Linked DNA regions of Mytilus edulis. The protein of the gene in region 2 purifies or fractionates together with the protein of the main gene of each other region. This does not show direct contact. Links are inferred from orthologs where the notes say so. Each region holds a gene or a part of one and is shown on either strand. Other genes may lie near its edges.

What was found.
Region 1: the proteins of RCC1-like G exchanging factor-like protein (region 2) and pseudouridylate synthase TRUB2, mitochondrial-like purify together in Homo sapiens (affinity purification with mass spectrometry; 3 studies listed by BioGRID and IntAct, with this or other methods). This does not show direct contact. The link is inferred for Mytilus edulis from reciprocal best matches to the Homo sapiens genes RCC1L and TRUB2.

What each region holds. Positions count from the first base shown.
Region 1 is NC_092345.1:79,634,226-79,641,997, forward strand, and holds the start of pseudouridylate synthase TRUB2, mitochondrial-like, read right to left. Parts: upstream 3,080-7,772; 5' UTR 964-3,079; coding exon 843-963; intron 1-842. UniProt on the Homo sapiens protein: Minor enzyme contributing to the isomerization of uridine to pseudouridine (pseudouridylation) of specific mitochondrial mRNAs (mt-mRNAs) such as COXI and COXIII mt-mRNAs.
Region 2 is NC_092355.1:44,610,386-44,617,686, reverse strand, and holds the start of RCC1-like G exchanging factor-like protein, read left to right. Parts: upstream 1-4,253; 5' UTR 4,254-4,395; intron 4,396-7,301. UniProt on the Homo sapiens protein: Guanine nucleotide exchange factor (GEF) for mitochondrial dynamin-related GTPase OPA1. Activates OPA1, by exchanging bound GDP for free GTP, and drives OPA1 and MFN1-dependent mitochondrial fusion. Plays an essential role in mitochondrial ribosome biogenesis.

The DNA.
Region 1 (7,772 bases), on a different chromosome or scaffold from region 2:
TAAATCTTGACCTGATAAACAATTTTAACCCTTGTCAGATTTGCTCTAAAGGCTGCGGTTTCAGAGTTATAAGCCAAAATCTACATTTCACCCCTATGTTCTATTTTTAGCCATGACGGCCATCTTGGTTGGTTGGTGGGGTCACCGGACACAATTTTTATAAACTAGATACCCCAATGATAATTGTGGCCAAGTTTGGTTTAATTTGGCCCAGTAGTTTCAGAGGAGAAGATTTTTGTAAAAGATGACTAAGATTTACGAAAAATGGTTAAAAATTGACTATAAAGGGCAATAACTCCTAAAGGGATCAACAGACCATTTTGATCTTGTTGACTTATTTGTAGATCCCACTTTGCTGAACATTTTTGCCGTTTACAGTTTATCTCTATCTATAATAATATTCAAGATAATAACAAAAAACAGCAAAATTTCCTTTAAATTTCCAATTCAGGGGCAGTAACCTATCAACGGGTTGTCTGATTCATCTGAAAATTTTAGAACAGATAGATCTTGACCTGATTAACAATTTTACTCGATGTCAGATTTGCTCTAAATGCTTTGGTTTTTGAGTTATAAGCCAAAAACTGCATTTTACCCCTATGTTCTATTTTTAGCCATGGTGGCCATCTTGGTTGGTTGGCTGGGTCACCGGACACAATTTTTAAACTAGATACCCTAATAATGATTTTGGCCATGTTTGGTTAAATTTTGCCCAGCAGTTTCAAAGGAGAAGATTTTTGTAAAAGTTTACGACGACGGACGCAGGAAGACGGACGACGACGGACGCCAAGTGATGAGAAAAGGGCCAGGTGAGCTAAAAACACTTCATCTCTACTCATTACCTCTAGCTAAATTGGCTTGTATTTTCTGTCTAAGAACTTTCTCTGACATTCCTTCTGGTTTGTATACACAAAACACTCCATTCAACAATCTTGCTGCCTGTGGAGCCCATTTGAATCGCATTGTTTATTATTTTTCTACAAACAAAAGATTGACAATGATTGACATGTTAATATAATGTCATAATTGTTCTCTTTAATTTTTGTAGTAGCTTATAATTCATTGTAATTAAGCTGTACTTTAAATTCAGAAATTTTTGCATGCATTTATTATTGTGATTTTGTCATTTAAAGACTAAAATGCAATTTTAATTTTTGTGATATTGAAAAATCATCCTGTTTAATTCACATAAAACATTTCAAAATGCAAGATTATATTATTGAGATGATAACCCTGTCTCATTTTTCGCATTAATAAAAACATCACAACAATTTCTGAATTTACAGTACATGTACGGTCCAATAATTTACAGAAAAGAGCGACCATTTACAGAAAAGAACTGAAAAGAACCGAAAAGGACCAAAAAGAACTGAAAAGGACTGAAAAGAACCGAAAAGAGGATACATGTACATACACATATGTATAATGTTTAAACAATGTGAATATGTTACAGTGAATTTGTATAATTAGGGATTATGTAGAATCACTGACTAATTGTTAAGATAGCTGTCAATTGGAAGCCTCAGTCTTTAGTTGACTTCGTGATAAAGATGAGATTTGGTAGAGGCGAATTATAAAGATTGACGAAGAGCAGTGATAGGGAGAGAACCTTATACGCTTGCGAGCACACACGAACATTTCAAAGTTAAGATTGCCAGGCATGTTTGGGCAAACAAAACTTTAATGGAAAGGTACAAATATTTTGCCAGGTTCCGTCGATACAGTATTAAGACCAAATTGGTTAAGTCAACAGATGGCAGACGAGTGGTCAATGAAGCTAGGTCGAGAGGAAAGAAGGATTGAGGGTCAGAGGAAACGTGACAACTGCGGTAAAATGGCAACGCGTGCAGTTAATAAATTTTAAAAAACAAAACTGTGTGTAATTCAATGTATTTATATGTGACAGTAACAGTGTATATATATTTCTCAGCACGAACTACTTATGTTTCTTGTTTTTCTTTTTATAGGTAAAATACACTAATGAACCTGGAACACATGCATCAATGTCAAGGCCTAGATTAATATATTGTTTGTTTCCCAAATCCCAACTCTACCGAGCCAGGTGTGGGCAAGTACATGTAGGTAGGGAAATAATTTTATTTTTCCAAAAAGTTTAACATTATCGGACGATCAAGCAAGCCTGAAAATCAGAAATGAATAAAATAATATTTGACTTAGATTTGACAATAAAATTTTATGAGTAGCACCAATTTTGCAGGGTCGGTCGGGATTGGGGAAACAAACAATATTTTATTTTAGGCCCAACACGAACATGACGAATATTAATTGAATTATAGTGTATTGCTATCATTTTGTTGCATGTTTCATGTAGTATTTGTTTTATTACTTATGTTACATATCTATTGTCTGTGTTATCATGGTTATGCATACATGTATGTTATTGTTTATGATATTATTGTTTGTATGCTATATGCCCTCCTAGTGGCTCTTACTTGGTGAATAAAAACTTTTCCTTTTTATTTTTCTAATCTATAAGATACATGTAGGTATCATACCCATCCTGTAATTTTTCATATGTAAGTTAAAATTAGTCCTGTCACAGTATAAGATTTTAAATGATTTGCAATTTGCTAATTTCCTTCTTTAAATCCTTGCTCTTTTCTGTAAGTCGTCAAACCCTACATGTATCAACTAGAGAATATTTACAATAGCAGAACCTACATCTGTATTGTATGCATTATGACATGTATGATATGCCTTCACTATATATGTCGTATAGAACTGGTAACTCAGGCCAGAAGAATATATATACGTATATAAGTCCATAATCACAGAACAAAATTCCTACACATTGTTGTTACTTTCAAATATATTTATACTGTAAACCAACTTATTTTCACGGATATTTTATTTAGCGTTTAGGTCATTCTATCTATTTTTGCGTGCGATTTGAAAACTTACTTAGTTGCATGGGAACTATATAATTTATACATAATATTCACGACTTATACTCGCAACTGTCTCATCCTACACCTACAGTCATTAAATTCATCATGTGTAAATAGTTTTATCTTAATATTAAAAAAAATGATAAATTAAAAATATGCACTGCCATTATTAGTCCGAGATTACTCTGACGTCCGACGGCTGTTTTGCCAGACAAGCTGGGGCCGTGGGACGTCAGAGCTCGTCCCATATCAAAAAGTGGATATTTGCCCACCCAAAATAGATGCGCGACTTCGACGCTTCTAGTGCCGACTGGCTGCCTTGGAATTATATAAATCGGACATCAATCTGTTCGTTTTTCATTTATCTTTCCAAATATGTAACTTTCACCTACCTGCCAATCTTTATTTTTCCATATTTAAACAGTTTTCGCAGAGACATGTCCATTTGGGCATTTCGACTTTCATTTTCAAATGGACGTCAAGTTACGAGGGAGTTCGTGGTCTCGAGACTTCAGTATGCAAATTTTTATGCTAATTTCGACCTTGACCCTACATAGCCAAACATGATCACAGTCGGAACATACTCGGACATTTAGTTCATTTGCATCGTAAATAACCGAGGTGTTCTCATAAACAACAATGGATCGATACATAGAAGATGTGATGAGAGAACTCGGGAATTTGCAGTTGAAAGAGGAGCAGAAAACAGTCATTAATAGTGTTCTCAAGAAGCAGGACACGTTAGCAGTCTTGCCTACAGGATACGGGAAAAGCATGTGTTACATAGTCCCGCCGCTTGTTCTGAACAAAGTGAGTAAATTAAAAAAAAAAATATATAAAATGTTACGACATCAAAAGATCGATGTAGGTAGTATAAAAAAAATGAAATCAAATAGTTTTGGTGGGGGTCAACATTGATACAAGTTTTGTTAATCTAAAATTGATTTTACAGGTCAATCAATTTTTCCCAAATTAAGTTTTAAAGGGGGCGGGGGGTCGAAAATATGTGAATTAAGTTATTTATCCTTCATTACACTTTTGATGTCGCCCCTCAGTATCAATAACAATCAATAACATACAGCTCTATCATATATGTTGTAGCCCCCCTTTTTTCTCCTTCTGAAACCTTTTTTTTTTGGTGTTTTAATCAATTGCTCGACAGCTGTATAAAAATATGGAATTAAAAAATATGATAAAGAAAAAACAATAGAAATTTTGAAGGCGTTTTTGTTTTCTTTTTTTAGGATGACCCTTCTAAGAAGCACACAAGTCTGGTCATTTCACCATTAAAGGCTTTAATGAAGGACCAAATTAAAAGCTTAAGAGAACAGAATATTCCAGCATATGGATTGTTGGAAGGTGCAGAGAAAGAGGATTTAGCAGGTACATGTATTTTAATATATGATAAATAAAGTATCATGTTCATAGAATTAGGTTGGAAATGGGTAATGTCACACTGAAATAAATAGTCAACAAATCCAGGAAAGCAAACTAGAAGACCCATACATTGTACAGTGCCATACATTGGAGTTTACCCTTTCTTTCAAAATTCTAAACAGAGATTGTTTGTTTGTTTAGGCTGGCTTTGGGTAAATCTAAATTGCTCTGAAGTCCAACAGGTATTTTGACAGACACTAAGCTAAGGGGTATTACAACCAGTTAGGTTCCTTTTTTCAGTGCCTCTTATGATATAAAATTGAGAATGGAAATGGGGAATGTGTCAAAGAGACAACAACCCGACCAAATTAAAAAACAACAGCAGAATGTCACCAACAGGTCTTCAATGTAGCAAGAAATTCCTGCACCCTGAGGTGTCCTTCAGGTGGCCCCTAAACAAATATATACTAGTTCCATCATAATGAACGCCATACTAATTTCCAAATTGTACACAAGAAACTAAAATTAAAATAATACAAGACTAACAAAGGCCAGAGGCTCCCATATCAAAAGATAAATAATCAACAAGATTTCAATTATCATTCTTGATTTTATGTTAATTTTAATCTTTCTTTTTTTTAGGTATTAAAGATGGACTTGCCAGAATATTGTTTGCATCACCAGAAGCAATACTGGTGAAGTTCTGGCGTGATGTCATCACCGAGGCCTATAAGGATAGGATATGTGTAGTTGCGTATGATGAGGCGCACTGTATCTCTGAATGGTAAGAGCTAATTGTAAACTTCAAGGGGGTGGATGTTTTTTTCTCAGCAATACTGTTTCTTTGTAAAACATGATAAATTTTATTTATCTTTTGTACGCATCATGAAAACTTATTTCTTTTTTGTTTTCGATTTAATGATAGGTTCAAATTGTCATCTCATTTCACTTTCTTTTTCAAAACTCATGATCGTCCAGAACATTAATGATATATTTGCCACTGGACTGTAAGCAAGCAACAATTAATCAATTAGCAATTATGATAAAAAATGGTATTAATTTAGTTTAAAGAAATAAATCATGGGAATAGCTTATTGTCATATGACGAGCCACAATAATCAAAGGGGAATTAATGGTTTCATTTCTTTTTTGTTTATAGGGGATTAGACTTCAGACCAGAATATGGCAAAGTTGGTCTCCTTCAAAGTATCATTGAAGCTCCAGTACTGGTGTTATCTGCTACCATTACAAATGACATTAGAAAAGATATTGACAGAGCTTTAGGTCTACAACAACACTCAACAACAGTAGTTGCAACATTACCAGATAGGTAAATATACATGTATGATAAGCATTTTCAATTAAAAAAAGAAGATGTGGTATGATTTTCTTTGACACAGCTTTCCACAAAAGACCAAATGACACAGAAAATTAAAAAGAACCTAGATAATCACTGTTTGCATAAATATCTTGTAAAAGATAAACAAATCGGTTGTTTAATAAGTCAGACTGTCATGTGTGAATATAAAAAAGAAGATGTGGTATGATTTTCTTTGACACAGCTTTCCACAAAAGACCAAATGACACAGAAAATTACAACCATAGGGCACTCTATCTACAGCCTTTAAAAATCACCAAATACCATACTGTGTTGTAAAACAGGTAAACTTTTCATCATTTTCCTTAAAGGAGTAGGTCCAGGAGCCCTTTTTGGCCCCAAAATATAGCAGTTTTACAAAATGTAAACTTTTAGTTATTTATTGAACAGTAGAATGCTTCTGCTATGTATAAATATGGGTTATTTTTCACTATACAATAAACATAAATCGGGTAATAGCACCTTAAAGTCATGCTAAATTACAGAAATCTTCACAATTCTAGCATTTCAGTTAATTTTTAGACAGGTTTCATGTTAAAAAGTGGTCAAAATCTTGTCAGATGAACCTGAAATTTGAGGCCAAAATTGGTCCTTACTGGACCTACTATGATGCCAAAACCAAAGTTGCATATATGTTTTAAAAATTAATCTGTATTTCAGATCGAACATATTTTTATGCACGGACAAGTCATCCGAACATCATGAAGAAGAACTTAAATGGATTTTGGAAGGTATAAAACATAAGAAAGACAAGTTCGAAAAGACCATCATATATGTGAACTCTATTGCTATGTGTGAAACCTTATATATATGGATTCACTCAGAGTTAAAGTCTGCAGCCTATAATGGGGAATCTGTCATTCAGAACCGCATGGTTGAAATGTACCATGCTCACACAGATGAGGAATCTAAACAAAGAATTATGGACCAATTTATATCGATAGACAGTACTATACGTGTTTTGGTTGCAACAGTTGCCTGTGGAATGGGTGTTAATATACCCAACATTAAATTAGTAGTTTTGTGGGGGTTGCCATCAACACTTCTTTTACTGTGGCAGGAAACTGGCAGATGTGTCCGTGATGGCAGCTTCGGACTTATGTTATGCTATGCGTTCAAGAGGAGTGTGTCAAAACCATGTGATACATGCAGAACTAACAGGAAATTTCAATGTACATGTAGCAGCCGGGAGTATCTGAGATCTCTTGTTGAAACTGAACAATGCCAGCGTTCATACATTTTAAGACACTTTTTATTGGATGGAATGTGCAGACAGTTACTCCCCTGTAATGATTTCAACTGCGCTGAAAACTGCCATTCCTGCAGTTGTGTTAAGTGCAAGTGTTGTATTGTATGCCGCAGAAAATGTGAATGCTCCAAAAACATGACAAAGGAGGAAATTATTCGTACATTCCTAGAGGATTAGTCTGTTGCTACTTGAATGTATCAGAATTTCGAAAGAACTTCTTAAATTATGACTGCTAGTAGTTTTTCCATCATACATGTACTTAATTCGTCTTAACATGAATATTTCCATTCTTGTTTCACAATTCTTCCAATGTTTAATCTCCTGATGAGGAAAATAAACATATCATTTTGATCTTTCCTGATTTTCTTGGTTTTAATCTTACTTGCCCATTTTTCAACCAATGCACATTTAACATCCACGTAAAAAAAGAAGATGTGGTATGATTGCCAATGAGACAGCTCTCCACATAGCTCACCTGTTACAATGGCTCAAACTGAATTTAAGTAATCAGAGATGTATATAAGTCTTCAATTCAAATATAAAAAAGAAGATGTGGTATGATTGCCAATGAGACAATGACAATTTTCAGCCGAGGACATTTTAGAGCGTTATCAGACACTCACTTTGGGATTTGTTGACTATGGGGTATTGGTTTTGATCATTGTTGAAGGTCATATGGTTGTTATGGTCTTTTTCCATTATTCTACTGAGAAGAGTTGTCTCATTAGCGATAGCAATCATACCACATCGGTTTAATTGACTGTTTATTGTACAGTTTTCAATAAATATGCCAATGTCTGACATAAAATTTCACTAGTTACTGTGACAAAAATTGAAACCAGAAAATAAGAGGTTGCAT
Region 2 (7,301 bases):
TACTCAGCAGGATATCGAAAAGAGGGCCCGCTGGTTCCTCAACTTGACAAAATGTGAAGTGGAACAGTACAAAGTCTAGCTTAACTATAAATGAAGCTCTATAAAGGGGACGGGCATCTAAATCCACATCTGGATCCATATTGTATTTAGAACTGGGACATCAAGTCATGCTTTTATTTTAACTGCATGTTTATTCATGACTGTATTTTACACAAAACGCTTTAAAAAGAATTCTTTATAAAATAGAATTGCTTGAATGAAAATATTTCAAAAATAATAACAAATATTTCTAATCACAAGGTAGTCCAGAAAAGAACATATGTATTTCCTCATTTTGAAGTGTCTTGTCATGTTTAGATAATACATTGATGATAACAAGACTTAAAAAAGTATACTTTGTACTTATGTTTAAAATTAAAGTATACTGTTTTGTATTAACACGTTGATAGTAAAAACAATTCTTTCCTGCTTCGGTCCATTTACTTTTTGGGGATACGGTCCATATACTGTCATAAGACTTTCAGTGTTTTGAATCATTTGTGTCTTATTTTACTTTTAAGTTTGTGTTTGTTTTTATCATACTGTTACTGTAAGACATAATAGTGTCCTATGAAAAAGTGTCCACATGGACACTTTTTCATTGAAATTTTGTATTTAATAATGTCCATTGCCATGGAATGGTGTCCCTCAAAAGGACAGATTTTTACTGATAACAATATGAAATAGTGTCCACTCAAAGGACAAATTTTCATAGTAGTTGCTATTAAATTGTGTCCTCCAAGGGAAGTAATACAAAGGACATTACAAAGTTTTATTATACTTGAATTTTAATTAGAATATGAAGGATTTATGAGAAATTGATCAATATACAAATGTAAACAAATAAATAATGGATGGAAGTGAATATAGAGAAATTTAAGTTCTAAGAAATTCCCAGCAAATGGTTATGACAATGAAAGAATAACAATAAGAAGGAAGTGTACATCAAATATGAAGAACTTTATTATATTTATTATGTCAATTTATGTCAAAGAAGAAGGCAATAGAAAATAAATAATGTCTATTGCCATGAAATATTGTCTCCTAAGTGGACAGCATTTTACAGCAACAGTTATGAAATATGGTCCATCTGCAGAACAAATTTTCGTAGTGAATGTTATTAAATTGTGTCCTCAAAGGAAAATAAAATGGAACAGGATCTAACATATATAAGTATATTATAAAATATAGATATGTAGATAAGGATGGTATGAGTGCAAAACGAGACAATTTTTATGTCCAAGTAACAATTAATTCAAGTTCGTAATTAAAGTTAAAATGCGTCCAGTAATAACAAGGCAATGGATATCCTTTAATACTTTAATAATATTAACAAATGCCCTTACGGACACAATGTCCTGTGAAAAAAATGTCCACCTGGACAATATTATGGTAGTGAATAATGTGCATGTTCATGGACACTTTTTCATACCTGAGGACATGTTTTCATAGGAAATTGTGTCCAGGACACATTTAAATAAGTAAATATTGTCAAAATGTGTCCGGTGGACATTTTTTCATGGAGGACATTATTAAATCCTACATTACCACTCGGTTGTATGCCTTTTTGAAACGAATTCAATAACAAAGGGGGGTAATAAGCCTGACTTAAGTCAGGAGCCTTGTCATTTGTTATATACTATTTTGAATTATTTTGGAGAATTAATTAAGGTAATGATGGCATTTCTTTGATGTTCTCTGACAATATTGCTCTTAAGTTAATGCTCACTTTGTAATTTGGTTATTCTCTGTTGTTGAGTTGCCATTTCATTAACTTATACACAGTGCTTGTGTGAATTCAACCTATCCTTTTATGCATATTAGTTTTTTTTTTCAATTTAATTGAGACCCGTATTCATCAGACCATTGATCAAACGAGATTTTTACATTATAGATATAATAAGATGTGATATGAGTGCCAATGAAACAACTCTCCATCCAAGTCACAATTATGAAAGTAAACCATTATAATAGGTCAAGGTACGGTATTCAACACGGTGCCTAGGCTCACACCGAACAGCAAGCTATAAAGGCATTATGTATGTCTAAATTCTCCGCGGCTAGAAAACCGATAAACTATTATTATTTAAACTTAATATTTTAAGTTTATATGGCAATACAAATTTGATTTGATTTGAATTATATTCATGAGTTTAAGAATAATGTTTAAAATAGAAATACAATAAAAAGAGTAAAGCGGTACTGTTAAAAGTAAGAATGTATATAATAACTTTGATATACAACTCGTCTAAACATCAACCCAACAATGTTAGATCTGTAAATTTGCTTTCGCAAACTTTTGGTTCTTCCCTCGCCGGGATTCGAACCCATGCTACTGTGATATCGTGACACCAAATCGCCTGCACTGCAGCCGTCCCGCTAGTCCTTAATTGTTATAAATGTGAACATAATAATAAGAACCTTTTGACAATAAATACAAATGCTTCCACTAGAACATACATCTTCGAAAAAGAACCAGCAAATTGCATAAACAGCTCTAAGAACGATCTCAAATTATATCAAACACCCAAATACACATCCATGGTGTTAGTACTGGCTTTAATTGACTATTCAGGCAAAACCTATATCAAACAGAAGTCAACACTGGACTTTTCGACAATATGCAAAAGGTGTTTATGATTAGTCGTTATTAAGATGGTGACTCCAGCAATGACATATATAAGGGTCGGTCGTCGTATGGACATGCTGCTACTCATTCCGGCTCCCTTTTATCTTTTTCTCGCGTGTTTCTAGGAATATTATTTCTTTCCGCATTTTACCTCAAGTTTTGTATTATTCTGTTTATGGTGTTTGTTAAATAAAATTTGAACTTTATTTTTGGTAAAAATTAAAATCTTCCAAGTTTATGCCACCGTCCGTGAATTATATCTATAAATTGTTTATTCAGAATCAAGTTTGACATCACGTAAACGTGAATTATCTATCTATAAATATTATATACATTATGTCAATGATATGTACAACACCAGGTGAAATGATTACCTATCAAATTATCTTTTATGTTTCATTTTTTATCAGAGCAAGTTTTACAAACTGTTTATTTGTTTATCTCCTTACATGACCAACTATCATGTCAATTACCATTGACGTAGAGTCTAAGGACCGATCGATGTCTGAAGAGTTCATAATAACAATGCTCTAGTTATATACATATTGCATATTGCAATTAACGAGTCTGGAGATCAAATGTTGTGCGTTTTCTAGTAAGCAAGTTTTGTTTGCTTGTGAAAAAAACCCTGTAAACTTAAATTTAAGAAACAGACTTTGACGATGTATGTCATTATTTTTTAAAGGGTTTATTTCGTTTATAACATCCCCAAACATTTGAGAAAATGGGCATATGTATATGCATGTACAAATATTCTGTGAACCTGAAAATAAAATCTATCAAAACTGTAAAAAATAGATTCTGACAGAAACTAGATAAATGATTTTCGTTTTCGTTTTGTTTCATTTCATTTTGAACTAAACTTTTTTTTAAATTTAATTATTAGAATGTGCATCTTCGTCCAGTTAGTCTGAACTCAAAGACTAAGGTGTACATGAGAATTGCTGGATAGCTTGACACTATAAATTATAAATTATGAAGAAACAAAAAAGAAAACACTGCATTAACGAATATTGTTAAAGGTTTGAAGTCAGATTTATTAAAACTTAAAATGAGTTCTGTACTGGACGGAATTGTTTATCTCCACTGAACATTTCTCGCTGCTTTGGCATGAGACTTCGGCTGTTGTCTCAGTGCTCTTTGGTCGGATTGTTGTTTATATGAAATATACCCCATTTACATTCTCAATATATAATAAGTTTACTCTGAGACTATTTATCTATAGATCACGTAATAAGATCTAAGTCAATCTAACTAGAACTGCGGCTACAATAACTTTTTAATAAATATAAACAAGAAGATGTGGTATGATTGCCAATGAGACAACACTCCACAAGAGACCAAAATGTCACATAAATTAACAACTATAGGCCACTGTAAATCAATATATTATGTCCCAGCTGTTATCATATAATCAAGTTACGTAATGATTTGTGCTAATTTTTCATATATTATTATTCAAATTAATTTCATTTAAGGGGAGTAAGAACTGGTGAGAAACTGGTGAGAAATTATTCCAACGACAAGTGTACAAAGGGAAATAACTCATTTTTCCAAATCCGGATATCCTTAACAGTCAACGAACACAATTTAGAATGTGAAAATGGCTGCGCCCATGAAAACACAATATTTTTATTGGATTTTATCTCAAACTTAAAATAACACCATCTTTGACTAAGTGTCATCAAATGCCTGACTTAAAAATTAACTAGGAGAGGAAAGTTTAAGTAAATAATTTTATAATTCATCGTCAGTACATTTAAATCTGATAAGTTCAGCCTTTTTTCAACTGAATGTTATTTTTACCGTGTGTTCTTGTACTGTAGTTGTGCTGTTCTTAGTCCAAATAATTATGACATCTTGAAAGGCTATTATAATTTTTTTCTTTGACGCCTAAGCATTATGACGTCGAAGTAAGGCGTCAAAGAAAAAAAATATAATAGCCTTTCAAGACGTCATAATTATTTGGACTATGCTGTTCTATGAGTAACACAGCCTTCATGCTGAGTGGCAGCCCAGGCAGCCCAGGCTAGTAAAATTGCTCTCGGGCCTGTAAAAATCTAGTCCAAATAATTATGACGTCTGGCAAGGCTATTTTAATTTTTTTCTGGGACGCCTTCCTACAAGGCGTCCCAGAAAAATAATAAAATAGCCTTGCCAGACGTCATAATTATTTGGACTAGTAAAAATCATATCTTCAGGCAAACAGAATCTAACTAAAAATTTTCAAAAATTGAGCTCCGGGCCTGTAGTAGTGTAGATTTAAAAGTTTGTCGTGAAGACTGGTAACATACATTTTCATCCTGTAATAGTCTTAATGAGCTCGTCCTAAGTCAAGAGCCTTTTAATTAGTGGATGTCATTGTTTGCTGTCTGGCATATTCTTAGACTTAAGTATTTTATTTTGTGTTTTTGAGTTAAAATGTAGCTTAAATATAGAACTTAAAACTGACAACAGTTGTATGGGTTCACACATCTCTTTAATTCGTACATGCACAATATTGACATTATTCACACACAGTCCTTTCATTGTACAACGTTGTACATATTGTTTATAGGCATTGTCTGCGCGTACCCGCATGCGGGTACGAATAATCAAATTGCCATTTAGGCTGCGCGTACCTGCATACGATTTTCTACTAAAATGCCATAGGATTGGGAATGAAACGTGAAATATATACGGAAGTTATCGATAATATGGGAATTTCGTGTAGAAAGAGTGAAGAGTATGAAAAATAATATTTTCAAATTGTATTTATTAAATAATGATACATAATAAACAGTGCAAAATTAAATTCACAATGATGGAAAATGTAGTCCCTGTAAAAGAAAAACATGATAGAAATTAATACCTGAATACTATTCAGTTTAAAATTTAAATGAAAATTTAACAAATAAAATTTTAATAATTTAAACATTTTAAAGAAATGCCCATAGGATATTTTAAAATAATCTTTAAGTAAAATGTAAAACAGAAACTGAAATTTTAAAATATATAAAACTAAAATTAAAGCTTGAGTTTATACAAATTAAAGAAGCAAAAATATGATTGTTTTGGCCTGAGACTACTATAACACATAGTAGTCTCAGTTTTGGCACAGATTTCAACCCTGCACATTTCAAATGTTGCCAGTCTAAACAGCAATCTCAGGCCAAAGAGTCCTGATTGTGTAGTTTTTTTTCTCACTTTATACATATCCAGTCGTATGTTTTCCTTCTTACGGTGATCTTAATTTTTAGTTGTTTATTCTGTTGTACTTTATATCTTCTTTAATTTTTGTGCTGCCTGTCAATTCTATGAAATTTAATGCCTGATAAATGTAGTTCTGTACAAATTTTTCTAGTTCATGATAAGTCTGAAATGTCTTCCCCACAGTTATAATATCACTCTCTTCCATTTTAAGAATATTTTCTAACTGAGAAAAAACTATTCACTTACTTATATACAAAATGTATATTATATATATATACAGTCCGCCAAAAGTTAAGCACCACCTACTTTTATTGCATCGATTTTTTTTCAAATTTAAAAAATCAATTGTTCCTCGAAAAATAGAAAACAATCATATAGCAATTTTGCTAATGTATACCATAAACAAACCACAAATATAATTTTGGTCACTTATGAAGGTTCTATGCATATAGGTTTTTCGTTCATAGAAATAGTGTAAATTACACAATTAAGAAATGGAATTTAAGTTTCACTGTGATTTTATTTTTTTACAACAATTAATCACCCAATACCATTAAAATTTTCTACACATAATCTTTGGTATGTTTGGCAAATTTAATGTCAATATTTGAGTCAATAGCATGTGTAACAACCTCATTTCCGGTACAGTTTCATAACACGACCTATCTTTCTCGGTACAAGCCTTCAAAACTTTAGTTGAGGAAATCTGTTGCATTAAACAACAAATGCCACTTTTAAATCGACAAACTTTTGTGAAGGTGAATCTCTGCGATTGAGATTTCCGACAATGGCATCTCAGACATGTTTGATAGGGTTCATGCATGGAGTCAAGGAAGGCCAAAAATTAGTGTAAATGACTGGTTGCTCTTTGGACTCGGTTAAAATTCTTGCCCTGCGTGGTATAGCGTTGTCATTCAGGTACAAGTGTCTTGACAATGTTGACGCAAGTGGGGGATTACTAAAATGACGGACTACAATATGTTAAGGCACCAAATCTCTGTATGTCTGTCCGTTTATGTTACCCTGCAGAATATGCATACCCAGCTTATAACGGTATAAGAAGCAACCCCGTACTGGAACACAACCAGCAATGCATGCAGTCCTTGTGCAAATATTGTTTTTGGTCATAGGCCGTTTTTTTCTCCTGCGAAATTCGTATTATGGCGTCTTCTGGCAGTAAAGGAAACTGACTCCCATCTGACCAATGAGTGTTTTGTCAGGTTCTTATGTTCAAGCATAGATGTTCATTATCCCATTTAAACCTGACGGTAGAGTGCCTGCTTGAAGGTACAGGTCTCTATACACCACGACGTGCTCTTCGTTTGCCTCTATAAAGTCGACGGACCAATGTACGAACACTTACACGACCACCTGGAGAAACAGTGTATAAATTTATAAACGCACATATGACCTTTGATAAAAGGTTGGTTGACTGCTTTAT